Linked DNA regions of Pelodiscus sinensis. The protein of the gene in region 2 interacts with the protein of the main gene of each other region in a pairwise test. Links are inferred from orthologs where the notes say so. Each region holds a gene or a part of one and is shown on either strand. Other genes may lie near its edges. The genes, in order: protein FRA10AC1 homolog, TRIM41, GPATCH2L and CHD2.

Region 1 (8,054 bases), on a different chromosome or scaffold from region 2:
GTCCACCCTCTCTGGGGCACCTGGTGCTGGCCACTGTCGGTAGACAGGATACTGGGCTCGATGGACCTTTGGTCTGACCCAGTACGGCCGTTCTTATGTTCTTATATGTTCTTATGACAGGGGTGGACAGAAGGAGATGGGGAAGATACAAGGGTAGCTGTCCCACCCCAAGGGGCAGGAGTGGGGGGAGGGCAGAGGTGACTGGTGGTGACACTTGTGGGCACCAGCTCCTATGCCCCTGACAAAATTTCAGATGCTACATAGGGTGCCCCACATGCCCCCTGACCCTGTAGGTGCCCCCTTCCCTCCCACCCCAGCAGCCAGAGGGGAATTCTGTGGATTTTTTTTAAGTGTTGTAGATATCTGCAAACTGATCCCTTGCACATGTACTGTGTGCATACAGATGTGATGTAATGTATGACCTCTTAAAATTAATTACCATAATGAATATGCAAAGAAAACAGTCTGCCAAAAGCTTATGAATGGGTTTGCCGGTCCGTGGTATAAAAAGATTGGAAATGACTATTCTTAATGACCTCTGATCAAAAAGTAGGACTGGGTGGACGTGTATGCTCTAAATGTTACTTTTTTTACTTTCGAGTGCAGTTATATTAAAAAAAAAGCACTACATTTGTAAACTTTCATGATGTAGAGATTGCGCTATAGCACTTTTATAAGGTGAGTCAAAAAATACTATTTTCATATTATACTGAAAATGTTTACAATGAAAATGTTTGTAATAAAAATAATATAAAGCAAGCACTGTACACTTTGTATTGTGTTGTAATTCAATTAATTGTTGTAAATTGCTATTTGAAAATATAGAAAAAAGGAATGTAAAATCCTATGTAAATTGTAAACCAGTGAAACTATAAGTTTAACCGGTTATCTGCACACCACGCTTACCAGGATAACTAGTTAATCAGTGCTTGGCCGGGCTGAAGTGCCTCCTCCCCGCATGGCTCAGAGGCTTGCAAGGCCAGACTGGGCAGAGCCCCCCACAATATGCCTTGAGAGGGGGCTGTTCCAGCCCAGCTGGGCACCAGGTAACTAATTACCCCAGTAAGCATGCCGGTAAGATGTTTACTGGTTAACCAGTTAAAATCTTCACGTGTCTAATGGAAAACATCCAAAATATTAAAATAAATGATATTCTATTATTTTAATAGTGCCATTAATACTGTGAATATTTAGTGAACAATTAGAGTCTAGTAAATACTTTTTTCCTGAAATGGAAAAATGAAGAACCTAAAATTCATCTAATTTACTGACCAACAAGTAGCTTTTCATACCACAGAGCATGATTATTTTTTTTAAAGGAAAGAAACAAAACACAGCAAAAATTAAAATAAGTGACTCCAATTATGGTTTCTTACCAAATTAAACTGTGAATACTTAAATCAGTCCAACTTTTTGGCTCAGCTTAATTAACAGGATCGTTGGTCTATACACATTACACACAAATCACTAGTAGCAACAGTACCACCACTAGCAACTTCATCAGTGCACAGCAGGCATTGAAGCAGAACTACTTTCACCCAAGATGGAGAAGAGATCAGAACCATTTACACAGTAGTGAAGGTATATTGGAGGGATGGGCAAAAAGCAATGATGTTAACTTATTAAAACTATTTTCAACTTTATTTTGCTAAGTACAGTTCTCAGATGACAGAGACAAAAGAAAAAAAATCAAAATAAAATAACAGAGACCAAAAGACTAAGGACAGAGATTTGTTTGGCACCACAGAGAAGAGAAACATTGAAAATTTGCCAAGACTAGCATAGGGATGTAAGAGAGCAGTCGATTAGTTGACTACCCAATAAACTTAATCTTATTGGGTGGTCCAGTCCACTACTCACCCTCTCCCCCAGCCTCTATCAGAGGGAGGGGGGCAGGGGTGGCCTCTCCCGCAGAAGCCACCCCTGACTGAGGGGGACCGAGTAGAAACTTGGGACCCCCCACAGCCAGGGGCTGCTGCTCAAAAGCAGCTGGCTGCCTAGGCAGCCCTGCTCAGTCCTAGCTAGCACCAGGACCAAACCCCACTGCGGCTCTACAATTTAAAAGGTGGGAGGAGGAAGGCAGCCTCCTACTCCATTTTAAATTACAGAGCCATAACAGGGTTTGGTCCCTGGCATGAGCAGGGACTGATCTGGAATGCCCACCTGGTTCCTACTAAATTTAGGAGCTAGGCAGGCAGCCCCACTCAGTCCGAATGTGTCAGGGACCAAACCCTGCTGTGGCTCTGCAATTTCAAACGCAGTAGGAGGCAGGGAGCAGCCTGCCTGACTCCTACTGTCTTTTAAATTGCAGAACTGCAGCAGGATTTGATCCCTGTGTGAGCCAGGACCTAGCGGGTTTCGACTACTCGATTGCTAAAATAACCCAAATGTAACATCTCTAGGATAGTGGTCAGGAATCACTGACAAAACAAAAGCCCTTGCTCAAAACAACGCGGAGTCTCCTCTGCGTTTCACAGGCGATGGCAGAGCGGAGAGAGCAGGGGCAGCGCCCCAAGAACACCTCGGCCCGCGCGTTCCCGGTGTTATTTACTCCCACTCCCGCCTGCAGGAGGATTTTGCACCTGTCGCGTTGGCATTAACACAGCCCCCCTCCCACCCGGCCTACTGCGGGCCTGCCCCCGGGCCCGCCCTTCCCTTCTCTCGGGCCTGCGGGCTACTCGCCTCCCCACCCCCCCCGGGAGCGGTCGGTGGCTCCCTGCCTCTGACTCACGGCCTGAGAGCGCAGGAGCTGGGCCGGGACCATGGCTGCCGGCTCGGTCAGCGCCCCGGGATGGGCAGGGCCGCGCTTCCTGCACGCGAACCGGCCGGTGGTTGGGCGCCTCCAGCCCCCGCCGAGCGAGAGGCGCGGGCCGGTTCCCAGCAGCGTCCTTCCCCGTGAAAGGCCCGGCCGGAAACCGGGGCTGGGACAGGAGAGGGCCGGGGGTAGAGGCGCAGGGCCCGGCTCCCTCGGCGCCTCACGCAGGGAGCGCCCCGGCCGCCCGCAGGCGGGGGAGAGAGACCCCGGGGGAGACTCCCGGGCGCAGTCGAGGCCCGGGGCGCGCGCAGGGGAATGGGCGCGACTCGAACCCTGAGCCGGGCCGGCCACTGCGGAGGCACGAAAGGGAGCAGGGCGGGCGCAGAGTGAGCCACGGCGGCCCGGGTCAGGAAGCTGCCTGCAACGAGCGGGCCGTGGTGCAGGTGTGGCCCTTGGGGGGTGCTGTTCTTGAAGTGGTTTCCATCGAGTACGGCTGGAGCCGCCAACTGCAGGGCCTGGGGAGAAGGGTAGTAGTAGGCTGTGTCTAGACTGGCAAGTTTTCCCGCAAATGCTTTTAACGGAAAAGTTTTCTGTTAAAAGCATTTGCGGAAAAGAGCGTCTAGTTTGGCACAGGCGCTTTTCCGCAAAAGCACTTTTTGCGGAAAGTGTCCGTGCCGATCTAGACACGCTTTTCCACAAAAAAGCCATTTTCACAATCGGGGCTTTTTTGTGCATAACAAATCTGAGCTATCTACTCTGGCCCTCTTGTGCAAAAGCTTTTACGGGAGCAGCATAGTATTTCTGCAAGAAGCGCTGATTTCTTACATGAGATCGTCAGTGTTCTTGCAGAAATTCAAGCGGCCAGTGTAGACAGCTGGCAAGTTTTTCCACAAAAGCAGCTGCTTTTGGGAAAAACTTGCCAGTCTAGACACAGCCATAGTGTTGGCTGCAGAGTCCCGGCCGTGCAGAGCTGTCAGCCAAGACCCCACGTGCAGGGCCAGGATCTCAGGACTGCTGCAGCACCCCGCCCACCCTTAGCTCTCCCTTGCCTAAGAATGCTGCCCCTACAGCTCCCTTTTGGCAGGGAATATGAGCAGGGCAGGGTCACAAATGGGGTGAGCTTCACATCCTGCACTCCATCCTATACACACTCATCCCATTCCCCTGCCCTGAGTCTCTCATATACATCTCCACCCCCTGCTCTGAGCCCCCTTGTAGCCAGACAGGAGCCCTCCCCCCCCCCCCCCCCTCCGTAACATCCATTTTTGCTTGCCTGGAGCATACAGGGCACACAGAGCAGTAAAAGCCTTGAACAGAAGGCCCGGATATGCAGGCTGCTGTGACCCTAGATGGCTATAAACAGATATGCCAATTGTTGACCTCGAGGCTGTGAGAACTGCCTTGGCTGGCACCTATATGGATACAAACACAAAGCCGTCTGCGGGGGGAGGAATCTCTCGCCCAATAAAGAATGTCCAGTACTCACAATTTAGTTATCTCTCTTCCAAGTGTAAATTAAGTTGAAACTCCCTTGTAAGAACTGGCGTCACAAAGACAGACCAACACAATTTGGCATCTTAGATAAGACAGAGTATTCAGGCCCCTATGGGTATAAAGATGGGTCCAGCAGCACATTTACTCTGAGGGGCTACGTCTACATTGGCACCCCTTTCGGAAAAGGGATGCTAATGTAGCACGTTGGAATAGGCAAATCCGCGGAGAATTTAAATATCCCCCGCGGCATTTGCATTAACATGGCTGCCGCTTTTTTCTGGCTTTCAAGTAGGAATAAGAAATCCTCCGGAAAAGGGCTTATTTTCCGGAGAATAACGTCTAGACTGGTGCTTTTCTCCAGCTTTTCCCCAAGCCGGAAAAAAGCGGCAGCCATGTTAATGCAAATGCCGCGGGGGATATTTAAATCCCCCGCAGATTTGCCTATTCCAAAGTCTACATTAGCATCCCTTTTCCGGAAAGGGGTGCCAATGTAGACACAGCCAGGCTGTGTCTACATTGGCAATCTTTTCCGGAAAAGGGATGCTAATGAGACATTTCAGAATTGCAAATGCCGCGGGGGATTTAAATATCCCCCGCGGCATTTGCATGAACATGGCTGCCGCTTTTTTCCGGCTCGGGGCTTTGCCGGAGAAAAGCGCCAGTCTAGACGGGATCTTTCGGAAAATAAAGCCTTTTCCGGAAGATCCCTTATTCCTCAATTTAAGAGGAATAAGGGATCTTCCGGAAAAGGCTTTATTTTCCAAAAGATCCCGTCTAGACTGGCGCTTTTCTCCGGCAAAGCCCCGAGCCGGAAAAAAGCGGCAGCCATGTTCATGCAAATGCCGCGGGGGATATTTAAATCCCCTGCGGCATTTGCAATTCCGACTGGTCTCATTAGCATCCCTTTTCCGGAAAAGTGTGCCAATGTAGACACAGCCCACGTGTCAATCTACCATCTATCTGCTGGTCGGGTTAGGTGTTTGACCTCCCCAGGTTCTATGAAGACGCCCACCTCGTATTCGTCTTTCCTAGGAATTGAGGGACCGGCCCTGGCCTAATACGCTGGACTCGAGAGGCACAGAAGGGGATAAAAATTGTACCTGGATGTGGTCCTTTGTCTTAAGTGTACACATAGACTTAGAGCTCTTTAAAGACTAAGCTGTCACTTGGTACCATTATTTCTATTTTCTATCTTTATTTTCTTTATAACCGTTTTTAAGATCTATATTTTCTAGCAGTTAAGAAATAGAGCAATAGCCATTGTAACCATATGATTTATAAGCTTCTTTAATAAACCTGTAAGGCTACGTCTACACTGGCATGATTTTCCGGAAATGCTTTTAACGGAAAAGTTTTCCATTAAAAGCATTTTCAGAAAAGTGCATCTAGATTGGCAGGACGCTTTTCCACAAAAGCATTTTTTGCAGAAAAGTGTCCGCGGCCAATCTAGATGCTCTTTTCCGCAAAAAAGCCCCGATCGCCATTTTCGCGATCGGGGCTTTTTTGCGGAAAACAAATCTCTGCTGTCTACACTAGCCCTTTTGCGCAAAAGTTTTTCGGAAAAAGACTTTTGCCCGAACGGGAACAACATAGTATTTCCGCAAAAGCACTGACAATCTTACATGAAATCGTCAGTGCTTTTGCGGAAATTCAAGCAGCCAGTGTAGACAGCTGGCAAGTTTTTCTGGAAAAGCGGCTGCTTTTCCGGAAAAAGTGGCCAGTCTAGACACAGCGTAACTGTTTAAGCTTTAACCTGACTCCTTCAGTTGCTGTAACAGAACCAAGCACAATTTAAAAGAACTTCAGCTGGTCATAAGGGACAGGTATAGGGAGAGCTTGGGCATTTGGATCGTGTCGCTTCCAGAGGACAGATCCATAGGGGCTGCCCGCTGCGAAGGGATCCTGTATCCTAGCAGTTAAAATCTGAGATGTAATAAGCTCTTCCTATAAACTCTGAGGTGTCTGTCAGCCTGTTGGCTGCCTGCCGCAACGGGACCCCGGTCCTAGTAGTAAAGACACGGACCTTAAACTTCTCAGGGCGCCCTTCAGCCTCCTAGGCTGCCCGCTGCAATGGGACCTTGCATCCCAGCAGTTGAAGACTATGGTGTGACACACACACACAACACACACAACACACACACACACACACACACACACCCCGACTCCTTCACTCCTCATCCCAACCTTCTGCCCTAATCCCCCCACACTCCACTGCTAAAACAGCACCAGTTCCCTGCTCTGAGTCCTTCACCTCCCCCACCCCATGCTGAGTCCTGCATCCTCACCCCTTGCCCTGAGCCTGTCCACTTCCCTCACTGCACCCTGAGCCCCCCACTCAATGCCCTGCCCCCAAACTTCTACCCTGTGTCCTGAGCCCTCCATCCACTGCCCTCACTCCAACACCCTCTACCCCCTGCTCTGAGCCCCCCCCCAGTCCTCCTTGCCCTCACTCCTGTTCCTCCACTCTGAGCCCTACTCCCTGTCTTAACTAAGGCACCTTCTGCCCTGAGCCCCCCTCCATGGAACCCTGTGCCTGATATTTCCCCTCACTCTTCTTTGGTTAGGTTAAACAAGCCAAACTCTTTGAGTCTCCTCTCAAAAGGTAGGTTTTCCAATCCTCAATTCATCCTACTAGCCCTTCTCTGCATCTGTTCCAGTTTTAAATCATCTTTCTTAAACATGAGACACACACAGAACTCCAGATTAGGTACAGCATTGCCTTGTATAATGGTACTAACACTTCCCTGTTTACAGGAAATACCTCACATGATGCATCCCAGGAATGTGTTAGCCTTTTTCATGGTTGCAACACATAAATGGCTCTTAGTCACCTGTGATCAACAAACACATTCACATCTTTTTCCTCCTTTATCACCAGGTGTTGCCAGGTGTCCAGTTTTGAACTGGACAGTCCAGTATTTGAGCTTTCTGTTCGGGAAACAAATTGAGAAAATATAAATGTCCGGTATTTTCTAAATAACATGTAATGTAGATTGTGATGTAATGTCAAGTGTGTCCAGTATTTTCATTGAAACCATCTGGCAACCCTATTTGTCACTTCCAACTAACAAATCTTATAGAAAGATGTCTTGTTGTTTGCCCCTAAATGCATGATCTTGCACTTTGCACTATAAAATATCATCCCATTTCTATTACTCCAGTTTACAAAGTCATTCAGATTGTCTTGTATGATGTTCTGGTCCTTCTCCATTCTGGAAATGCCTCCCAACTTTGTGTCATCTGCAAATTTATTTTTAGCGCACTCCCACTTTTTGTGCCAAGGTCAGTAATGAAAATGTTAAATAAGATTGGTTCCATGACTAACCTCTGAGGAATTCCACTAGTAACCTACCTCTAGCTTGACAGTTCAGCTTTCAGTATATCTATTGTAGTCTCCCCTTCAATCAGTTCCTTTCCACCTTTCATTTAAGTAATAATTTCTCATGTGAAACTGTATCAAATGCCTTACAGACATGCAGATAGATAGATCTACTGCATATCATTTGTCTAAAAAAATCAGTTATCTCAAAAAAAATAGTATCTTTGTTACAACCTCTTGAATCTAACAATTGAAACAATTGTAGAAAAATTTACAATTACTTTCTGTCATTTAGTCTATTTACTTTTTGTAGTTCACCAAGCTTGCAACAGATGTTTAACATTAGGAAACATCCTAGTAACCCTGTATTAGCTTAATTGCCTGTTACTCTCACTGTTTTTCTTTTTGTTTTTTTAATCTGATTCCTTTATTTTGCATCCCAATCTGGAAAGAAATCTCCTGTTTCTTGTGCAGAACTCCTTACAC
Region 2 (7,155 bases):
GAAAACACCGCCGGGTTCTTTCGATTGACTTTCGAAAGAACGCAGCAGCAGCCTAGACGCAGGTAAAGATTTTTCGAAAAAAGGCCACTTTTTTCGAAAAATCCCTGTACTCTAGACACATAGATATTTTCATACCTTCTGCTCCTTGTTCCTCCCCCCCCCCTTTTTTTTCCTCCTTCCCCCCTCTCGCTTCTCCCCTATTTATTTTGGGTCTGCACACCCTAAACTCAAAGCTCTGGTCATCTGAAGAAGAGGGCTGTGCCCAGGATAGCTCATGATCCCATCTCCATGTTACGTTAGTCTATAAAGTGCTACCAGACCTTTTGGTGTTTTTGAAGTTTGTCTTGTATCCAATGTTAGGCTGAAGTCAGCCCTGGAGCAAATCTAGCCAAGTTGTGAGAGCCATTGTGTCAAGCATATGTATTATGAATGATTATTGTTGTTCATTAATACTGACTGTCATGTTACAATTGCAATTACTATTAATCAATATCATGCTGGAAACAAATGATTGTAAATCCAATTAAGAATAATAAACTGCTAAACTTTTGCTAGGTCCTGGTGTTTGAAATGTACATCCTGGCATGTCTGAGAAAAGCACAGGAAAAAAAAGAATTAACACCAACAACATTCCTCCCTTTTTTGCCCCCATGGTGCTGGGTAGGAAAACCACATGGACTCACTTTCGCTGCTGGACTTTTGGCTTGTGATTCAAATGCTCCATCAGTTCTTGGCCTGTCTCCAGACCAATCCCCTTTAAAAATCAGCCCAGTTCCCTGAGTTGCTGAGGAAATGCAGCTGGTCTGGGTTTAGCAGACAGGCAGACAGACCAGCTCAGAACTTGGCTTTGGAGTGGGGGGGGGGGGGGAACATGAGCCCCCCCTTGACTTAGCTGCCTTTACAAGACCAGCCAGACCCTGGAAACAGACACAACTTTACAGCCAGGGAGGAAAAAAGAGTTTAAAATAAAAAACTTGGGGTAAAAATTTTCAGCCGCCCAACGTGGGGCTCGAACCCACGACCCTGAGATTAAGAGTCTCATGCTCTACCGACTGAGCTAGCCGGGCTGTTGATGCAATTTCACCTAAAATAGGCCTGTCTCCTTTTCCAGTCTGGGCTTTGCCAAATGTCCAGCCCTATATTGTACTGACCCCAGACTTGCTTCCTATCCAGCAACTTCCATCCCCGGGGGAAAAGTCTGGCCTGGGATCTGTAGGAAACCCCTTGTTCCTCACCTCTGTCTCCCCAGGGGGATACCACCAGCGCCTGGGCTAAGAGTGGCCGGTTAAAATCAGCCCCCCTCTTTCCTCCCCCTCTCCGCCGGCTGCCTCCCAGAGAGGTTGTCGAAACTGCTTCAAAATGGGCCCTTCCGTTTTCCCCCCATTGGCGCGTGGAATAAATTTTGTGCGGTGCACCGAGGCCGGTGGCGATGTGCACCACCAGCAGACCGCGGGCGCTCTGCTCATCCGTTGGGCGGCATTTGGAGCTCTCCAGGGTGGCCATGTGTCCGGTTTTGGCCCCCGACAGTCCAGTATTTGCAACTTCTGTCCAGTAAAACAAACAGAAAATACCGGACATGTAAAATGTCGGGTATTTTCTGTTTTTCGGGGACGGAAGGCCGCTTGGGACAGTCTTCCCCTCCGCCTCTGGTGGGCATGGGGAAAGCAAGATGATATAAAGGCGCCGTAACTCTTTTGTGAGGTTGTTGTTAGGCTGTTTTTATTTCTCAACAACTTTGGTCCTCGTGGCCTTTTTTGGGGGGGGGGGTTTTTTGCTCACCCAATGTTTTTCCCGCAAACGTACCTGGGCCGAGGGCTCAGCGTCCAGGGAAGGCCGGCTGGCGAGGGCTCCCAGCAGTGAGGGAACCACCTGGGATGGAAGGAATACGTCCGCCCCCGTGAAAAGGGGTTAAACACGGCCCCTCGTGCCCTGGCTTTTTATGGATCTCAGCCTCCAGTGCCTCCAAGGATCCCACATGGTTCATTCAGCATGGCTGGACCTCAGAGTTGTTTCGGGGAGTTTTTTCCGGACACCTCCAAGTTAGGCCTTGCGGGGCGGCCCTCCCGGGACAGCCCTGCCTGCACCAGGCCTTCGACTACAGGAACCGAGGGGCCTCGCGAGCAGAGGACTGGAGAGCCTCGTGCTAGAAATTGGGGTGGGCCCCGCCGCACTTAAAAACGCCTCGCTCCCGCGGCGAGCCACAAAAGCGCCGCCGTGCGCTCTTACCGTGCCGTGGGCCGGCTGTTCCCTCGCGGTCGCACGCTGCTCCGGGAAATCCACGGCTCCGGGCGGGTGGGACGGGCGCGTCCGGGGACACTAGGCGGGGCGGGGCGCTAGGCGTGTCGTGGGGACAGGCTTCCCGGGCACCGCGCCGAGCAGCCGGTGGTCAAACTCGGGGCCGGTCCCCGGAAGATCTCTGTGCACCCCTAACGGGAGCACTCTTACCTACCCACCGCTGCTTCCCCCAGGGGGTCTCCTCCCGGCTCGCCACCCCCGGCTCCAGGCAGGCTCCACAAATGCCTCTTCAGCAGGGCCCCCTCCCTTCCGCAATTTTTTTTCTTTCGGTGTGGAATAAATTTTGTGCAGTGCACCAAGGCGCATGCCAATGTGCACCACCCCCGAGGCACTGCTGGCTGGGGGGGGCTCCAGCTCTCTCCTGGGTGGCCACTCCCCCCCCACACACCCTCCCTCCGCAACGTGCCCCCCCTCAGCACCTCCCACCCCACTGGGGGCGGGGCTTAGGGCGGCCCCGCCCCCACAAACGTAGGCCCCGCCCCTTTGGAATTTATGGGTGAGAAAGAGGCCAGAGCCAGAGCGCCCCCCCCCCAGCGTCTTCTACCCCACCGGGGGCGGGGCTTAGAGGCGGCCCCGCCCCCTTCAGCGTCATCGGCCCCGCCCCCTTGGAACTTAGGGGCGAGAAGGAGGCGGAGCCAGAGCGCGTCCCCCCCTCCTCAGCACCTCCCACCCCACTGGGGGCGGAGCTTAGGAGCGGTCCCGCCCCCTCCAGAAGTAGGCCCCGCCCCCTGGAACTCCAGGGGCGAGAGGGAGGCCGGGCGTGTGACGTCACACGGGGAGGCGGGGCGGATCCGAGCCGGAGCGCCGCGCGCAGAACCTCCCAACGGGCGGGGGGGAAAGAATGGAGCGTGGGGCCGGCAGTTCCGGTCACATGACGCGCTGTCCTCATCCTTCCCCCCCCCCTCCCTGCCGGAGAGCGGCGGAACGCGCGCCGGGGGGGGGGGGAGCCACTTCCGGTCACATGCCCCGCCGCGCGCCCGTGGCGGAGCGGTAAAAAGGTCCCGCCGCCACTTCCGGCGGAAACGGAAATAAGGCTCCCGCTGCCTCTTCTTATCCCCCCCTTCCCCCGCTTGCCTTGACAGCCACCATAGAGCGCGCGGGTAGAGCGTCCTCGGGCAGCCGGGCAGGGCCCCTAGTGGGGGAGGGGCTGAGGGGTCGGGGGACCCCCAGGAGGAAGCAGGGGGGCTGAGGACCCCCAGGAGGAAGTAGGGGGGCTGAGGACCCCCAGGAGAAAGCAGGGGGGCTGAGGACCCCCAGGAGGAAGCAGGGGGGCTGAGGACCCCCAGGAGGAAGCAGGAAGGTCGGGGGACCCCCAGGAGGAAGCAGGGGGGCTGAGGACCCCCAGGAGGAAGTAGGGGGGCTGAGGACCCCCAGGAGAAAGCAGGGGGGCTGAGGACCCCCAGAAGGAAGCAGGGGGGCTGAGGACCCCCAGGAGGAAGCAGGAAGGTCGGGGGACCCCCAGGAGGAAGCAGGGGGGCTGAGGACCCCCAGGAGGAAGCAGGAAGGTCGGGGGACCCCCAGGAGGAAGCAGGGGGGCTGAGGACCCCCAGGAGGAAGTAGGAGGGTCGGGGGACCCCCAGGGGGAAGCAGGAGGGTCGAGGGACCCCCAGGAGAAAGCAGGGGGGCTGAGGACCCCCAGGAGAAAGCAGGGGGGCTGAGGACCCCCAGAAGGAAGCAGGGGGGCTGAGGACCCCCAGGAGGAAGCAGGAAGGTCGGGGGACCCCCAGGAGGAAGCAGGGGGGCTGAGGACCCCCAGGAGGAAGCAGGAAGGTCGGGGGACCCCCAGGAGAAAGCAGGGGGGCTGAGGACCCCCAGGAGGAAGTAGGAGGGTTGGGGGACCCCCAGGGGGAAGCAGGAGGGTCGAGGGACCCCCAGGAGAAAGCAGGGGGGCTGAGGACCCCCAGGAGGAAGCAGGAAGGTCGGGGGACCCCCAGGAGGAAGCAGGGGGGCTGAGGACCCCCAGGAGGAAGCAGGAGGGTCGGGGGACCCCCAGGAGGAAGCAGGGGGGCTGAGGACCCCCGGGTGAAGTGGGGGGCTGAGGCTCTCAGGGGGAAGCTGAGGGCGGGGGGGGCCCATGGCGGCGGTGGCCGGGGAAGGCGGCCCCGGGGGGATGCCGTGCGGGCAGCCCAGCGCGGTGGAGACGCTGCAGGAGGAGGCCGTCTGCGCCATCTGCCTGGACTACTTCACCGACCCCGTCTCCATCGGCTGCGGCCACAACTTCTGCCGCGTCTGCATCACCCAGCTCTGGGGGGGCGAGGAGGCGGGCGAGGGCCGGGCCGGCTACGCGGCCGAGGCGGCGGGGCTGGGCGGCGCGGAGGACGAGCTGGACGACCAGGCCGATTACAACGATGAGGAGGAGGAGGAGGAGGAGGAAGGGGCCGAGGACGAGGATGACATGTGGAGCGAGGAGGACGAGGAAGCCGACTTCTGGGACGACCCGGGGGAGGACGACATGTGGGAGGACGAGGCGGGCGACGAGCTGTACTTCGAGGAGGACGACTACGCCGAGGAGGTGATGGAGGAGGAGGAGGACCTGGAGGAGGAGGAGGAGGAGGAGGAGCTGCTGACGCCCACGCCCCCGGCCGCCGTGGCGCCCCGGCCTCGACCGCTCCCCCCCTTCACCTGCCCCCAGTGCCGCAAGACCTTCTCCCAGAGGAACTTCCGGCCCAACCTCCAGCTGGCCAACATGGTGCACATCATCCGACAGATGCACCCGCTCCCGCAGCGGCTCGCGTCCCCGGCTGCTGTGGGGACCTCAGCGAGGCCCGAGGGGGCCGCGGCGCCGGGGGCGCTGGAGAGACGAGCCCTGTGCGAGAAACACCAAGAGCCCCTCAAGCTCTTCTGCGAGGTGGACGAGCAGGCCATCTGCGTGGTGTGCCGGGAGTCCCGGAGCCACAAGCACCACAGCGTGGTGCCGCTGGAGGAGGTGGTGCAGGATTACAAGGTACGCCGGTGGGGAAGGGTCGCCGGAGTCCGCTGGGCCGGGCGCGGCTGTAGAAGTGCAGCCGGTTAACCGAGAAGCGGATGCGAACACGTCCGTGCTATCGGCTACACGCGTTATGATGTAATGGCGTAGTCGATTAACCCGTAACCGAAGCGTATCGGTTAATGCTGCAGACGACGTGCGTTCCTCCCTCTTTCCCCCGGCCGGTACACTTTTAGCAGGCTGGCCAGCAGCCCGGCTCAGTCCTGGCTTGGGACAGGTCTGGGACCTGCCCCCTCTGCGGCTCAGACAGGCAGTCGGTCCACGAGAGCAGCTGGGTCTGAGACCAGCTCCCGCCTGGCACCCCCGCTGCTGCCTCTGATACAGCGGCAGCAGCGCGGAGTGTGGGGGGCTCCTCGGGCGTCTGCCGGCCCTGCCCACGGGGACTATCGAATGGTTAAGTAACTGAGAAGAATTCATGAGGCTGCTCGACTATTCAGTGAACCGATATGTAACCTGCCTAACGCGCATCCCTTCCGCCAGGACGTACGTTGGCAGGCTGCCTTGCGCTGGGTCCCGGGAGCTACCGCTCTCCTGGGACCCCGCGCATGCTGGGACTGAGGACTTGTGGCGGAGGTGACAAACCTTTTGTCGACTTCACGACTGACGAGTTACACGCTTTTTAACGTCCCTGGTGGGGTGTCTGGGAGCCGTTGGCGTGCCCGGGGGAGGCGCCGGGGCCCCAGTGGGTCCGGTAAGGCCAGCGCGTGGCTGGAGGTACCGCGTTGGCTCCGGGAGGCCAAGGGGGGTTCGTTGGCTGGCGGGTGACAACGTGGAGGGTCGGCTGGGACAGATGGTGGAGCTATGGGAGTGGAGTAGAAGGTTTTGCTGCTCTTCCGAGATACAGCACAGCGCAGACTCGATGCGGACCTAAGAGTCAGGGCAGGCAGCCTTCGACCTCTTGGGGGGCAGGGGTACACAGGCCCCTGAACCCCCCCGGACTCGACTCAGTCTGTTCGAGACAGCCCCTCTCTCCGCCACTGCTCACCCACTCCCCCCAAGTAGCCACACCCCTTCCTTTGATCAAACTCCTTCCCCGTGCCGGGTGAGCAATGGCTAGGCCCACCGAGGCATTTATGTGCGCCCGCTGAACTATCTGGGCCAGCCCCGCCCCCTGGCGCGCAGCAGCCCCCAAAGGTTGGGGACCACTGAGCTAGGCCATGGCCTTCGTGCCTGCCCTCAGGGACCACCCCCCGCTGGGCGGTGCACACGGACACACACACAGTCTCTGCAGAGCAGCACGGGGCGGTAGGGGTCACCCACAGCCCGACCCAGCAATCCGTGAATGCCCAGCCAGAGTGGACATCACAGCGTGTCCAGAGCCAGCGCTGCTGGGCACAGAGGGTCCCCTGAGCGCACATCCAGGCATTAGACCCGGGGACAGCCGGCAGCAAACCTGAGACAGGCAGGAAGACGCCAGGCCCCGAGCATCGCAGAAGGCTTTAGAGGGACGCCGCCGGCTTACGGCTCTGTTGCCCGGCGTCACGAGGGTGAGCCGGCCTTCTCCGTGCTCATTCCGGGGCACCTCCACGGAGGGATCGAAATTCTGGATCCGTGCTGGGCTCTCTGGGGGGCTGTGTGTCCAGCGCCCAGCACGGCAGCACCCCGGTCCGTGGCTGGTGCCTCCAAGGAGAACTCCCCTCGTAGCTCGAATCACAAATTCCGATCAGCGTGGCCCTGAAAATCAGGGCCCGGAGGGCGGGGTAAAATTTCCCCCTCGAAGGTTGGCAGGAGCCAGGCCGAATAGTCCTGTAACTAGAGGCGACTGGGAGCGGCGAGCGCGTGTATTTTATTTCTCTCGCCAGCTTTTCCTGTGTGCGTGGCCGGCGCCTGACGCCAGGCAGGGAGGGATCTCAAAGCGCCTGCGTGGGCTTTCG
Region 3 (8,067 bases), on a different chromosome or scaffold from region 2:
GTTTCATGGCTATGATGAACTCAGTGACTGGATCTTTAACTGCCTATTTATGCCACCACAGAGAGGGGTTTGTCTGCTCCAATGATAGTATGGGAACTAACGTAAAAACTGTGGGTAAGGGCAAATTCAGAGAAGACTATATATATACACCCTATGCACAGGCTCACCACAGATATAAACAACAAGTTATACAGGCCCATGGTGCCCGAGCCCAGAAATATTTCTATCCTGGGGACCTGCTCCACCAAAGTTTGGAGCCTGGTCTTTCCCCCAGCCCCACGGGGAAGGTAGGGGTGGATGGATATCTTCATGCACTGCCCCATCCCGAGCACCCCCTGTGGCCAATGGGAAGCTGCAGGGGTGATGCCTGAGATCCCCTAGCCCAGAGCCTTCACCCCTCACTAGGGATGTTACACTTTTACCTGAGTAAATTAATTTTGTTTACACACAGGGCATGAGGGGGAACTGGCTCTCTGGAGAACCCACCTGACCTCCCACCCCGTGCTGCTGCCTCTCCCCACAATCCCCGGCTCCTGCCTGCCCACCTGCCCCTCGTGCTGCTGTCTCTGACATGCAGCAGCACAAGGGAGGTGGTGCAGCTGCATGTAACCATGAAGGTTCACCAATGAGCCCAGGCTCACCAGATAAGCATTTACACTATCACATCCCTAGCCCTCACCCCATTCTGCATCCCTGCCCCAGCCCAGGGCCTGCACCGCAGACCTCCTCTCACATCCACATTCTCTCCCAGAGCCTGACCCCTCACCCCTTCAGCACCCAAAGTCTCTCCCACAGCCTGCACCCCAATCTCCTGCCCCAGCTCAGAGTCTGCACCCAGCACCCGAACTCCATCCCAGAGCCTGCATTCCTGCCCCACCCAAATTCCCTCAGACAGGGAAAGGGGAGGGAAGAGGTTTGGGTGGGGAAGGAGTGCAGGTTCTGTGTTCTCTGGACACCACCAACATTTCTGCAAACCTGCTGCCCCTCAGCATGGAGGCTAGCTAGCTTCTAAATCTAGCCTGAATACTCCTGCCTTCCAAGCTCTCTGACACCACAAGATGGTGCTCCCTAGCACCAGCACCTAAGAGGAGAACTTCTAAATTCACCCGCACACACAGCAGCAAAGCAGCCACATAAAACATCCCAGGTGTGAAATGAGTTTTGCAGCTTTGTTTGAGGACAGCACTGATAGCCCCAATCTGGGGGTGGACACAAGCTCCTCATGTCACTACTAGCACCTGTGACAAAGACAGGTGGAGACACCGGTGTGAAGGAGATCGGAAAGCAGGCAGGCATATCTCCACTTTTGCTCTCAAACCCAGAGCAGTGGCTGGGAGCAGGAGGGCTCCTACTAGCCTGCAGAGGAGCAGGCCTCATTGCTCTTCTGCCTTATTTAACTCACCTTGGCAGTGCTGAGGCATAATCATGCAAGCAGCAGGTCCCTAAATATCCTGCTTCCACTTAGCCACCTCTCCCAGTGCCCAGCCAGCATGTAAATCCAACAGGAGCTGCACTTCTGCCTTCACTTTTTTTCCCCCTAAGCTAGTCCAAAGTGCCAGTGAACCCTGGTCAGGAGAAGAGGTTTTCCACTGGGGTGGGCAGCCATTATTCTGCTGGAATGTTTTATTTTCTAAGGGGAATGGAAAGCAAGGGGGAGGGGAGCTTAGGCAAGCGTGTGCACTGGCAGCAAGTCTGATGTCCTTGTCCCACAAGGTTATGGACCCATTCTATCTCAGACAAAAAACCCTCATGGAAACACGAGAGTCATAAAACAAACATGAGGGCAGCAGATGCCCCGGAGTAGAAAACAAGGGGTTTATGTGGGGAGCTAGACAGACTCTTTGTAGCGTACGAGCAATGAGGAGTTTTGGGGAGCAGGGTAAAGTCTGGGGGAGAAGAGACTGAAGAAATAATATTCTGCTCTCTTTTCTCCTGTATAGATAACTAAGGTCAATAAGGCCTTACTGGTGTAAGTGGGGGCAGCATTCGGCCTCATGCAGCCTGGTCTCATTGGTTAACATGCACATTTACACATGCAGGCCCCCTCCGACGCTCCCACACTGCTGCCTCTGTATCAGCTGCCTCCCTCTGTGTACTGGCTCCTGCAGAGCCACCCTCTCCCCGCATGCTGCAGCGTGAGGCAGGGGCAGGTGGGAGCTGGTATGCAAGCTAGTTTTAAAGCCGGCTCCCCGTGTATCCAGCTCCTGCCTGCCCTCTGCATGTAACCACTAACGCATTTTAACTTCCCTAATTCAGACTGATTGATGTGCTTGACTGAAACCCTAGCAGTTGGGGGGACAAGAACAAATTTAATTTCTATAGCCCCTTTTCATCTGAAAGCCTCTCAAGGTCCCTTACAAATGATACGCCCACTGTGGAAATGCAGGTACCTAAAGGTGGGGGGGCATAACAGCTATTTAACAACCACACAGGCCACCAAAAATCACTTCCTGATGAGATGACAAACATTTTGAACTAATGAATATCAAAATGGCACAGGTATATGGAGAAAGAAATATTCCTGCTACAATTCAGAAAACTTTGAAGATTTGTAAGCTCTGTCATACAGTCCTAGCACACCACTGCATACTTACAAAATGATAAATAATAAAATTCCACAAGCTAAACTCAGCATCTTTATTTGAAAATATATTTGGAATTCAGTTTGTTTAGGATTTAAGCACCTCTAATCACTATTACTGTTCTTCAAAGTTAGTAACTTACAAAAATTAGCAGACAATGTCCTATCTGCATATTTCCAATGTGCTGAGCACACCGATATTTAGGTAGAATACACGGGGATCTGAGAGAGCACAGATGAGTTTAGAATTCATGGGACTACTAGTGAGGGAGTTGGCAGCTGAATTAATTGTGAAACTGCTGAACAAAGTCTGTTAAACTAAAATGCCTGAAGTCTAACTTAAGAAGAAAACCCATTTCAAGCTAATACCCACTCACAGAGTAAAGAACCTTATTTAACTATGGAAGCTACATTAGCTCCATAAGTCATGGGGGGAGATGGCTACTGAATTTTCATCACAAAGTACAAAATGGATAAGAATTACTTGCCTTGTGCCAAGTGGCATGCATATATACCAGGTGCAATTAGCTCATGGCCATCAGAGCCCAGAGGTGATGAACTGGAACAGCTGAGAGAGATGGAATCTGGAGGCAAATCAACAGGACTTTGTAAAGGAAAATCATGCCTCCTTCATCTACTAGAATTCTTTGAGATCAGCAGAAAATTAGTGAAGAAAGGAGAACCAGATGATAGTCACTTGGATTTCCAAAAGCCTTGGACAAAGTGCCTTTCAAGAGATTAAAGAAACTAAGGGTATGTCTGGACTACATGCCTCTGACGACAGAGGCATGTAGATTAGGCTACCCGGCATAGGAAAATGAAGCGGCGATTTAAATAACCGTAGCTTCATTTAAATTTAAATGGCTGCCACACTGATGCCTCTGTATCAGAAGCAGCAGCACTGGGTGACAGGTAGCCGGTCTGCAAAGGGAGCTGGTTTTTAAACTGGCTCCCCTTACGGACCAGCTCCTTCTGATACAGAGGCAGCAGCATGGAGCAGCAGGAGGCTCCTGGGAGTGGGGACGGAGTGCACTGGCTGCCGGTCCCACCCCCGGGGATATAGACTACTCGAGTAACCAATAAGAATTCATGAGGTTAATCGACTATTCAATTAACCGATATTTAACATCCTTAAGGACATGCCTTATGAATTGACAGACTAGATTATTCCCTAGTCCATTCTCCAAAACTTTGCCCATTCCAGTCCCTAACTATGCGGGTTCCAAAAAAAGATGATTCCTTAGCCCTGTAAATCTCACACCATGAGTTTCTTGATATTCAGTCTAATTTTTTACTGCTCATTTTCATCCCATTTTCCCTTGAGCCACCTGGGCAGCAATTGTCCTTCCAGAGAATTTGTACCCTTTCCCAAGTTTGCTCTTTCACCCTTTGAGGACTGGGATCTTCATTCCCTTCCACTGAGATTCCTATTTTTACACATGGGAGGACTGTGATAATTTTTTTGCAAGCAGCTGTTGGAAACTGCAGTTGTGATGCGATTGAATGATCTCAGAACAGTCTGATCCAGGACTAGTTATATAACTCAGTGGCAATTCTTCCTCTGAAGGGAGAGGCTACAGGATGAACCCCTCACTGGAAGCATATCAGATAGGCTGGATCTGTTTCATGCTGCCCCTGCCAGCAGAGGGCACTGTGAGAGAAAAAGCTGAGGTGGGTGACAAGAGAAGGCTATGACTAGAAATCTTACCAGAATCACAATGGAGAGGCCCCAAGAATTATTTAACTTCTGGTTTCTTGGGGTGTATTGCTTCTATTTCACATTGTTATGAGTGGCAGTTTAAGTGCCACTCCCTTTGATAAGACCATCCTGCTAAGAAAACCTCACCTGATCCTCCCTCCTTTGCCCTTCACTCTCTCCACAGCAGCTTCATCCACCTCTCTTAACTTCCCCAGCATATGTGTGTGTGTGTGGAGTGGTGACTGAAGGACAGCCCTCACACAAGGAATATGAAGAAAGCTGCCAGTAGCACCATGACTGTCAGGTTCCTTGGCTCACTAGTCACATGTTCTATCTGCATGTAGCTATTTATTCATTTGATGTAAAAGTGAATTCATTCCCCACCCGCCCGCTTCTTTTACCATCTGTCCATTCATTTGGAAATCTGTTTCACTTGACCTTTAGCTGACCAAAGCTTCTCTGTTCCCTCCATCCTGCCACGGGCTCCTCCAGACATCCCCAGCTCAGGAGCTTTTAGCTGAATATGCAAATGTCCCCCCCAGCCAGCTGGTGTCTGCCTCCCAGAAACACATGTTCAAAAGCCCACTGGGCTGTTGGAGAGGAGGAGGGGCAAGACCCTGCACCCAGCCCTTGAGGCTGCAGAAAGTTACTTATCAAGGAGTTATACAGCAGCAAAACAGATGGGAGGAGAAGAGAAGAGGAAAAAAAAGGAGCTGAAGCATGCATCTGTATATATACATAGTAGGGTCAGTAATGTGAGTATGAACATACCAGGATGGGGGGGGGGGGAGCGGGTTATTGATGGGAATGCATAAGAGTGGGAGTGATGTACAGAAGTAGAGACCATACATCACTGATATATTGTCTGTCTCTCTCCTCCTGCTCCCTGCTGGTCATCATCCAGGCTGGTTTCTTTATGTGCCTGTATATTTACAGTGCTCTTTTTACAATGGTATCCAGGTATTCTCTCAGAATTTTAAGAACAATGAGTTGTGACATCATGACTTTCGATGTGATGTCAGAGATGGATGATGGTTTCCTACCAAGCACTGAAGCAATCTTATAAGTATACGTCTAAAATACGTCTTTGCCCCCCCGTAACACGCCCCATCCAAGGATCTTAGAGCACTTTTCAGACATTCACTGTGGATCAGTTTCATTCATCCTGTTTTGTAGATGGGAACTCTAAGGCATGGAGAGCAGTGTTCCAAGGTCACATTGCAAGAAAATGACAAAATAACCCAGGAATTCTAATGCCTGGTCTCTCAAGAATTACGCCTCACTGAAGACAGCAAGAACATTACACAGGACTGGCCCAAGGTGGTTCATACAATGTCTCTGCCATGTGGGAGATGAGACAAGTTGGAAGGAAGGGGACAGAGTGCCTCATAGTTTTCCAGATTGGTCCCTCTGCCCCCTTAATCAGCTAAGTTGCTTGCTTCCAAAGGCTAACTTGTTCACTGGCTCTCTCAAGGAGAAAGATGGTGGCTGTGAGATGTGGTTTGCATAGGTGCCTGGTCCCTCTCCACATGGTGCAAGATTCCATTTTTCATTAGCTCTTCCAGAGTCTCTTTCCTGCTAGTCTTCATGTATCTGGGGGTGTTTCCTGCCAACCTTTGGAGCAATATGACACCTAGAGAATGTCACATCACCCACTTTCTCTAGGTTAAGGAAATATCAAGATGCTGGTATTGTAAATTCAACAGAGCTATTAACTGTCTGGAAATTAGAATTCAAGGAACCTTTCTACCCTACCCCAAATTCCTGCTCTCACAACAGCAGCTCTGTCCTTGGCTCCAAGGGAACCAGAAGTGCAGCTCCAGATGTAGCCAACAGATGCTGCTCTTTGTGGCCATCGGCAAAAAGCACGAAGTCATGAGCTGCCAAGAGCAGCTGAAGGAAGGGATATGGCAGACAAGGGAAATACAGCAGAATGGAGCGTGCAGGGAGCTGCAGTAGGAAGGCTGGGGAGTTGTATGTTTTCTGTTTTCACAGCAGGTGTCAAGGGATCCATTGACCTTTGAACCAGGCCAGGTGCGATACAGGGTGACCCCAGTGAGAAAGAGTGAGTGTGCCAATCCCCCTCAGACTGGTTCCCCCAATTCAGATCCCTGGGCATATCCATGGGACAACCACAGAGGCACAACATCAAGGGTTGTGTAAAGGATCTGGGGACACCATGTTTCACCGTCCAAGGAAGGGATGGACTGCTCTCCTTAAGCAGGTCTCCATCAGACCTGGTTTTAAGTTAGCCCTAGGGAAGCTGCAAGATACAAAAAGGTTCTGGATGCCCTGTGGTGGGGGAAGTGGAGAGATTTTGGCTACCCTACATGTATGGTTTAGATAGGGGTGGATTCCAGAGGCCCCATAATAAAATACAGTATGTGTGTTCTTCTTCCAAAAAAGAAATGAGCATTGTTGCTCCATTTTAGAGATGGGAAAGAGAAGGCAACTGAGGCACAGAAAAAGGAAATCACACAGCAAGTCATGTGGCAGAGCTGGGATTAGAATCTAGATCTCTGCTCCCTCTCCTGGGGTCTCTCTGCTAGCTCATGCTGCCTCACAGACAGCAGGGGCGCATTGCTGGTTCTGGTCTTTCCAGAGATGAAGATGGAGGTACAGGAAAACCTCAGCCACCCCAAAGGGCTAGACTACCAGGATTGGTTCTAGCCACTAAGGGGAACAATTCAGGGTCACAGCCACTTTACACAAGGTAACAGTCTCTGGAACTGAGACAGCTGATTGTTCAGTTAAGTGAGTATTAAGACTACCTGAAGGTTCCCACATGTCGCTCAACCTGCAGGGCTCTTCATACAAACCCTTCTATAGTCTCAATTTCAGCCTCTTACTAGCTGTACGTGGCAAACTACCATCACCTCCTCCTGACCTTTCTGTAGCAATGTGACAGGCCACCAGGGGCACAGGATAGAATCATAGAACAGAATCACAGAACACTAGAACTGGAAGGGACCTCAAGATGTCATCAAGTCCAGACCCCTGCCCTCATGGCAGGACCCAGTACCATCTGCACCATCCCTGATAGATGTCTATCTAACCTGCTTTTAAATATCTCCAGAGATGGGAGATTCCACAACCTCCCTAGGCAACTTATTCCTGATAGGAAGTTTTTTGTAGGGTACATCTAAATTACATCCCTTTTTCGATAAAGGGATGTAAATTAGACGTATCGAAATTGTAAATGAAGCCGGGATTTGAATTTCCCATGCTTCATTTACATCAGTGGTCCCCAACCTTTTGGGGCTGCCAGGCACCCGGGGGCGGGGCCACTCACGCACCGGGCACAGGGGGGGCAGGGCCACCCATACGCTGCTTGCCCAGTGCTGGTGCCACCCATGTGCTGCACTCCTGGGGCCAGCGCCGCTCCTGTGCTGCATGCTCAGGAGCCAGCATCACCCACGCGCTGTGCACGTGGGGCCGGCGCTGCTCCTGTGCTGAGTGTCCAGGGGCGGGGACGCTCATACGCTGCGCGCCCAAGGGCAGGGCCGCCCATGTGCTGCGCACCCAGGGGTCAGCGCAGCCCTTGCGCCTTGCACCCGGGGGCAGGGCCACCCATACGTTGCGCGCCCAGGGACCAGCACTGCCCATGCACCACGTGCCCAGGGCAGGGCTGGCCCCGATCACTCAGCGGGCACACAGAAATGGCCCGGCGGGCGCCACGGTGCCCGCGGGCACTGCATTGGGGACCACTGATTTACATAATGGTTGCTGCAGCTTTTTTTCAAAAAGCCACTTTTTGGGGAAAAAAAAAACGCAGTCAAGACAGGGA
Region 4 (7,794 bases), on a different chromosome or scaffold from region 2:
AAATTCAGAAACTAAAATAGCCTAACACAGAGAAAAGGGCTCCCTTGAATAAAGGTACATTACCTTTTGATTCTGACATGGGCCCTTAAGTCACAACACAACTTTCAGAAATTGCTACCAAAAAATAGGGTGTGGCATATTAACAATCTCAAGGTCATTCCTTAAAAAAGGGAATGAAAATCAGTTAAATATTTTGTAGTAAGAAGTGACAGTAACCTAAAGCTGTCAAGGTAAACATTGTATTCAGAGGTTTTTAAAAAATAAAATAAAGTTGATAGCTCATACCTCGATGCATTGCTGTGTACGGAACCCTCCTCTCCTTGGCTTTTGTCCTCATTTCTCATCATCTTTTAATTCTTAAATACTAAGGGGGGTGTAGGGTATCTGTGTTTGCTTTGATGTCCTGTGCCCAGGTATTTACTGTCAAAAGTTGAAAGAAAGGTAAGGTCCCAGTTTGTTTCATCGGCTTTCGTTATCAAGAACAAAGTCCTGACGCTGCAATGATAGTTGTAACAATACACAACACTGATCAGCACAGGAAAATGGACATTTAAAACAATAATATTCATTTTAAAAGAAAAAAAATTGAAGAGAAACAGTCCAGAACAGCATCTTGCAAACTTTCCCAAAGTAACAGAAGCAGCAAAAAAAATCTCTGTATTTTATTGCGTCATCCCAATACAGCTCAAGTCGGTCGAAAAATCTAAGTACTTAAAACCAGCAGAAATCTGAAAAATAATAATTGCCCACATACCTGATTCACGCACCACCGCCAGGACCAAGCCGATATTAGTTTCGGGTAGTGGAAAAACATTAGATCCAAAATATTAAGAGGTTAAACGCCAACTGTATAGTTTTAGATAATAAAAAATAAATAGAGCCTAATTTCCAAAAATATACTGCTGTTAAAGCAAAAACAGCGATAATTAGTAGAAAAAATGTCCCGGGGAAAAGCTCATTAGGAGAGCGCACAAAAATGGAGGTACGCCATGGCTTCTAGAGCTGGAAAAACAACGACCTGGGCTCTCTCCACGGCTTCTTCTTTCCAGCAAGGCACGAAAAGAGAGCCCTCAAAAACTGCTTTTCTGCCCGAAAAAGCCTCAATTGCCTCCCGATCGGTGCCTAGGACAGGCAAGGGGCTGTGGGGGCCCCCTGAGGCTGCCCGAAAGTTAGGGAAAGTTGCGTAAAGTGTTGGGAAGGCACGGAGCTCAGCGCGCTCTCTCTAAGGCACAGCCGCCATCTAGAGCTCCTTCCCAGCTCTGAGCTCTGCCTTTGATTGACACTCTCTACATTTACCCCACAACTCAGGTGATGTACCATAGACCCACCCCTTCATTTCTACCAAAAAAACAGATAGCCTCCACCTAAAGGGTGCCTGCCACCCCCCCACATCCTTGGCTTCTTCAGACCACCCCATCTGAGGGGGCACCTTAACCCCATCTGGTTCAGGCACCCTTTTAATGCAGGAAAGAAATGTCATTTGTTTCTTTTGTTTTAAAGATTTGCTAAATATTTCAGTCCTTGGGCTAAAATTACTTCCTCCCTGGACAGGAAGTGGTGCTGTAACAAGCCATTTTGAAAGAATGGAAGATGGACTAATAGCCAGACTTGAGCAACAACCCTCTTTGGAAGTCAACCCCACCCAATGGGGAGCAATTAAAAAAAATGAAAAAAAAAAATCTATGTTCAATCAATAATCCCCTTCACTTATCATACAATGTGTATAACTGAAGCTTAAAAATGGAAAGTCACAACAACCAAAAGAAAGCAGTTTGCCAGTAACCCTTTCATCTCAACAGCGCCTCCCTAGTGGTTATTGAGAAGAGCAAAATTAAATAGCTATGTTATTTTAATTTAATTAATTCAATACACCATGAAAAAATATAGCATTCTGGTATGTAATGTCCATGACTTAACCCATTATTGTTTGTAATAGACCTTAACATCCTAAAAGGGACTTTTTACAATCTTGAGAAAGTCAAGGTCCAAAAGTAATTATTCATTGTAATCCAAGTAAATTCTCAGATACTACTTCCCAGTGGAGAAAACATGACTCATTCAGGAATTGGAGGGGATCTAAACACAAAAGATGCTCTTATTCCCAGTGACCACTATTCCACCCCAACAACCAAAAATAGTAGCCTATGCCATCAGAACTTTTCACACATTTATTGTCCATTTTACAAGATACTGGAATCAGGCATGTGTACCAGATTTTTTTTTTAGTAGTTTTGATTTGGCCTTATATTAAGCGCATCAGAAGTGGTACACTGTCCCAACCAATGGCAAACAGCAAGTTCTACCAATAAAAACAAGTTGCTTTCTTTCAACTTCACATCCTTGCCATTCTTGCCCTGTAAATCCACCCTCTCTCCAATGTGTACTAAAAGGAAGGTTGCGTAAGTTTGATCTGCCATACCAATAGTGCACTATTGACTGGTGAATTATTATATATAGAAGAAAGCTGCCCTCTACACAGCACAATTTAAAAAAAAAGTTATAAAAAGGAAAAGAGCACCAATTCCAACCTGAATTTGAGCAATACAAAGGAAGTCAATTAGTTTGACTACTCGGTCTTTTAGACTGTCTAAATGCAACTCTGCCATATAATAAATGGCAGAAACAAGACTGGGAAGAGTGTACATTCAACATTGCAAGATTCAAGAGTTATGAATAGCCTATCATATACTAAGAATGAACATTTCCAACAATTTATCTTAAAGAATAAGAGCTGAACAGATCGTGCGCCAAATTTACAGTATTTGTCACTTGGAGATTCCTTTTGTCCAGTCTATCTGAATTTACTCTCAAATCTGCATGGTGTTCAGACATGAGAAAAGTTAAGCTACCTGTCCAAGATACATTTTAAGTATGTTTCTCTGTAGCCAGAGGTTGAACATACAAGAAATGTAAGAGGCAAAGTGATCTATGAAATAACTGAATTTTACAATACTACATCATATAGGTAGACCTTTGTGTTTATCTAGTAATAAAGATCAAAATAGTTCCACTTAACACTGTGCAATCTATTTGTATTATCAAGTCAACAAGAAATTCACAGTATACAGGATGGCCATGAACTGTAATAAACATTTGTACAGACTAAATCTAATCCATTTTAAATACATTGGTTTAACATTCTTTACGCTAAGGAACTAAACGCCAAAGAAATAACTTTTTTTAGAATGGTGTAACTTAAACACAATCCAAAACGTAACAAGTTTCCAACACAAAGCACCTGCAGGAAGAAAGGAAGTCATTCAGGCAACTAATTTGAAGTTCACTATAAAAGGTTGTGTGTGTGTGTACACACCCGTCCACATAAGTAACAAAAACAGATTACAGCAACACAGAAGAGTTCCTCAGCCAGACCAAGGATAGTTCAGGATGACCCTCCACTGCCAGCCAATGAATATACATGTTGTCTAGTTTGCCATTATTTGACATTTATACCATCCTATAAAAACTTTGGAAAGTTAAACAAAAGGACTGACAACTGTTCAAATACTGAATATAGAAAGTTAAACATTTTAACAGCATGGATAAGTAAAAATAAAATATTAGAAATTGAGAAACTGAAGTCTTTGAACCCAAATATAGCCATGTTTCAAATGAAGTATTTCGTAAATCTTACAAAACCTTCAATGTTTAAGACAATTGTCATTTTCAGAATCCAATAATCAAAGAATTTAATGACCTAAGTAAGCATCAATACACATTCTAAGTATTTTTCAGTCAGGAAAGAGACAAACCAAGAATAAAGTATAAAACAAATTTATTAAATAAGTCACTTAAAACAACAATACATTTTTCCCAAATAGATGGCAATATCAGGCATATCAACTTGAGTCCCCCGTCAAGGATACATTTCTGAGTATAAAATTTTGCCATCCCCACCCCCTTAAAAACAAATCCATTTTCTGTTCACTTATACAACACCATTTAGAAATTCAAGTCCATTTTGGTAGGATGATCACAAACCAAATCTTCTTTGGTTTAGGAACAATGAAGTCCATGTTAAAATTTCCCTGTCTTGGATGTATATATCACAGCACTCATGCATTAGTCCAGTTTCTCAACCTCTCAATCAACAGTAGAACTGCCATCTTGGTTTTTCATTCGTAGACTCCATTTGACACTCTTCATCTGACTGGACTCTTTATAAAAAATTAAAAGAAAAATGCTGTTGGAATAGAGATAATCTTATCCTTAAACTAAACAGATAATATTCAACCATGTACCTTGAAGACATTTTGAACATTAACTTTAGAACTAAAGCTTCATTAATTTGGTTCAATATAAATTATACCTGCCACATCTGATTTTGCCATCAATTAACTTAGGCACATCCAGCACTATGACAGGTAAGTTTTCAAAAATACAAATAAATACTACAGGGGAAAATAAGAGTTCAAGAAACTTTGAGAATAATTAACTCACTTCTAAAAATTTGCATGGGGAACTATTAAAAATTAAATAGAGAAGGGTTTCATCTCTGGTGACAAGTACTTCTGCCATCTATGACAGTGATGGGTTTCAAATTAAGATGAAACTAAGCCTAATTTTTATACCACATTACATTTTCAACAACTGTCCCCCTCTCTGCTTCTAGCACACAAGTTATCAAACCCAATCATACCAGGGATATGACAGCTAGGTTATTATTTGAAGGTATTGACTGAGTCAATAGAAATTCCTAAAATTGTGCCATCTTGGCGATAGTCTTCTAACTTGGGAAATGGAACACCCATGGTGCTGTTTCATTTTTAAGCAATCAAATTTCAGTATCTACTAGAAGAAAAAATGTATCAAAATCAGATAGTAACTATGCAGATTGCATTGCTTTGTCTCATAACTTTCAATACAACCCGCCTAATGCTGTTCTCCAATCATGTTTTTTTCAGCCATACGCTCAAAGTTTGCTTTTCATAAAGCAGCAATTGGGCCTAAGACACCAGATCAGTGACAAAGTGACCATATGAAGCATTATTCTGACTTGCCATTAAAAAAGGGAAATTTGGGCCTATAGATAAAGTTCTCTTGACTTGAAACAAGCCAAATGTGGCCCAAGACAAATGCAATAAAGTACTTTTTTAAACTACCATTTGCACCCATATACACAACCCTTAAGCACAGGAAACAACTAAATGGCAGAATAGCAAAGAAAACTTCAAAAAGCACTGCACTGATGGCTTGCTTGTAGGCTAACTATAGGTGGAAAACCCTTAACTGTACAATAAATGGCTTTCAGTAACTTCTCAATAGTGAATTTGCATTGTAACTTTATATGTGACATCTTTTATTCCATTCTTTTGAATGTGGCTTTTTAACTTAACCTTCAGTTTAAATTTTACAGCCAATTCTACCACTCTGGTCCCCTTAAGAAAAACCTCCAGATGTGCATAATCTTTCCAGGCAAGAAAGGCTTCAAAAATTACCAAAAAAGACAGAATTGAGTGTAGTCATCTAGTGTTTTGACTCATTCAATGCCACTATTCTCACTTAAATTTTACTTAGTTGGACAGGATATTTTGAACTATAAAGGTACAACAAACTTCCTGTTTTGGGTTAATGACTTGCCATTTATAATGTTTCATATCCCAGTATTCTTGGATGAAGTGATTTTTCCCCCACTTAAGATATCTCTATTCCACATAAGTGGAATACAGGAGCAACTATTTAGATTGAACTATTAGTGGTATCATATGTAACAAGTGAAAAGGGTAGCAGAATATTCAAATCACAGGATCTTCCCATCTTAAACCTCACATACCTCAATGTTCGGTTTTGTTTTGTTTTTTAATTGAAGTGGTATTTCTACTTTTAGTGGGGCATGTATTTTTAACCAATACTATCTATACTGAAAAACTTACAAGTAGTTTATTATCTATTATATATTTTGAAGGGTGTGTTTGTGGATTTATTTGTGCAAAATAAAGTCATACTTTGTGATTACCTACAGATACCAAATTTGCATAAATAATCCTGCCTCTTAAATTAGCGGAATGTACTACTTTTGACACCAGAATATGCTGGGTGAAAGATTTAAATAATTATTTTTGTTTTTCATCAGAAATGTCATTACTATTAGGATCAGAGTTCATAAAAATATTTGCTAATAATTAAAATTGAGTCACCCATTCAAGTCACCTATTCAATTGCCATGTTAGCGTAAAGAAAAATGTTACTGTTATATATATCAAAATAATTCAAGTTAGTCAAAGAAAGAGTAATGAAAGTTTTAAGAGTTTCTGATTCAAGTTTTTACTATGTATGGTAATTATTCAATAAATTGGATATGTTTGAAGTTGAAATCCTACAAATTTAAAACTGGTTTTACTTCCCTTTTGCAAGCACATTAATAAAAAATTCTATGACATTACATTTCTTGAACTTTCCTATATGTTTGTGATCAATGGAAAATTACTTTGCCCAGTCAACGACGGGTCTCACTTGCTAGTATATCATATTTTACATACTCATCTAGATTTAAACCAATTTAGACACAGATTAGTCAGTGTTTCAAAATATTTTTAGGAACTAATGAAATCTAAAGTACCAAAACATGACATAACCACAATCTCGTCAGTGAGTGGGTGAGGCAATATGGTTTACTGGACCATCTTCATGTCCAATACAAGATTTTACCTCACCTATTTTGTGTGTCTAATATGCTGGGGCTAACAGGAATACAATTCTTGTCTGTCAAATATTTGGGAATGTTTAGGTGACTGAGATGAATACTAATGAAATTCACCAAGTTTCTTGTTTCTTTTTATGATTACAGCTTCTATTGGTAAGAAGTAAGGGAAGCCAAATATTGATCTGATAACCATAGTAAGCCTTTGTTTTGCAGTTCTATCCATGAAAACCTACTTCTGTTGGGTCATTCCAACTGACTACAAAGCAAAATGTGATTGAATAAAATATATCATCCCTAAGGTAATCTGTGCTTGGATCAGCCATATTTGGTTGTACCAATGAATTTGGAAACAACTGACAGTGGTAATCTGAATTTCATTTTGCTAATGTCACCATTTCTGTAACAAGATCCTGCAGTGAAAGGAGTTACAATAGGAAAGTATTAATAGCATCAGTAAATAATTTGGACAATTCTTCCAACCACACAGGTAAAACTGTGTTTTTTTTAGGATACATCTAGTAAATATTTCAATGTATTTTCACACGTTAGATTTCTCGTTGAGTGACACTTCTACAATGGCTTGATTTTTTAAACAGTCACACTGGGCATCCATGACTAAGACTCCTCTTCTTACTATCTGAATCTTATGTTCTCTTTATGTCCTTTTGTGGAATCAAAGAATTAGCCATCACTATTGCTCAAAAAGTTTTCCTACACCCTATTGTATTTTTATTTCTAATTGAACAAGATTAATATCTAGGCTATTTAAGGCAGTTACCACAAGGTTTGGTATGTTTCCTTCATATCCTCAAACTATACAACTGCCAATCTTATTAACAGTCCACTGCAGTACCTAGATACATATTCAACCAAACATTTGAAATTTTAAAATTTCTACATGTATCTTCTCTTCACACTCACAATATTAACTTTTTGCTCTAATTTAGAAAGATGACTTTCGGTAATAGTCCACTGCAACAAATAAATTTGCAATCTTTTGTAGCCAACAGTAAGTGTTCAGTTTTTCCTCTTATGTTTGCCAAAATCCCACAACAATTCCCTAAGTAGGTATGTCCAAATACATATATATATAAAAACATCTTATGTTTAAGTAACACAAAAAGATAAAATGCCAACCAAGTTGTAAGATT

Evidence for each region.
Region 1: the proteins of TRIM41 (region 2) and protein FRA10AC1 homolog interact in binary tests that used the Homo sapiens proteins (3 or more experiments, as listed by UniProt). The two-hybrid records come from large-scale screens. The link is inferred for Pelodiscus sinensis from reciprocal best matches to the Homo sapiens genes TRIM41 and FRA10AC1.
Region 3: the proteins of TRIM41 (region 2) and GPATCH2L interact in binary tests that used the Homo sapiens proteins (3 or more experiments, as listed by UniProt). The two-hybrid records come from large-scale screens. The link is inferred for Pelodiscus sinensis from reciprocal best matches to the Homo sapiens genes TRIM41 and GPATCH2L.
Region 4: the proteins of TRIM41 (region 2) and CHD2 interact in binary tests that used the Homo sapiens proteins (3 or more experiments, as listed by UniProt). The two-hybrid records come from large-scale screens. The link is inferred for Pelodiscus sinensis from reciprocal best matches to the Homo sapiens genes TRIM41 and CHD2.

The regions. Positions count from the first base shown.
Region 1 is NC_134718.1:41,756,861-41,764,914, reverse strand, and holds the start of protein FRA10AC1 homolog, read right to left. Parts: upstream 3,126-8,054; 5' UTR 2,765-3,125; coding exon 2,732-2,764; intron 1-2,731. UniProt on the Homo sapiens protein: May be involved in pre-mRNA splicing.
Region 2 is NC_134742.1:1,231,564-1,238,718, reverse strand, and holds the start of TRIM41 (E3 ubiquitin-protein ligase TRIM41), read left to right. Parts: upstream 1-4,138; 5' UTR 4,139-4,369; coding exon 4,370-5,239; intron 5,240-7,155.
Region 3 is NC_134714.1:43,250,514-43,258,580, forward strand, and holds the start of GPATCH2L (G patch domain-containing protein 2-like), read right to left. Parts: upstream 3,166-8,067; 5' UTR 3,091-3,165; coding exon 3,070-3,090; intron 1-3,069.
Region 4 is NC_134724.1:12,518,222-12,526,015, forward strand, and holds the start of CHD2 (chromodomain-helicase-DNA-binding protein 2), read right to left. Parts: upstream 3,021-7,794; 5' UTR 755-3,020; intron 496-754; 5' UTR 348-495; coding exon 286-347; intron 1-285. UniProt on the Homo sapiens protein: ATP-dependent chromatin-remodeling factor that specifically binds to the promoter of target genes, leading to chromatin remodeling, possibly by promoting deposition of histone H3.3.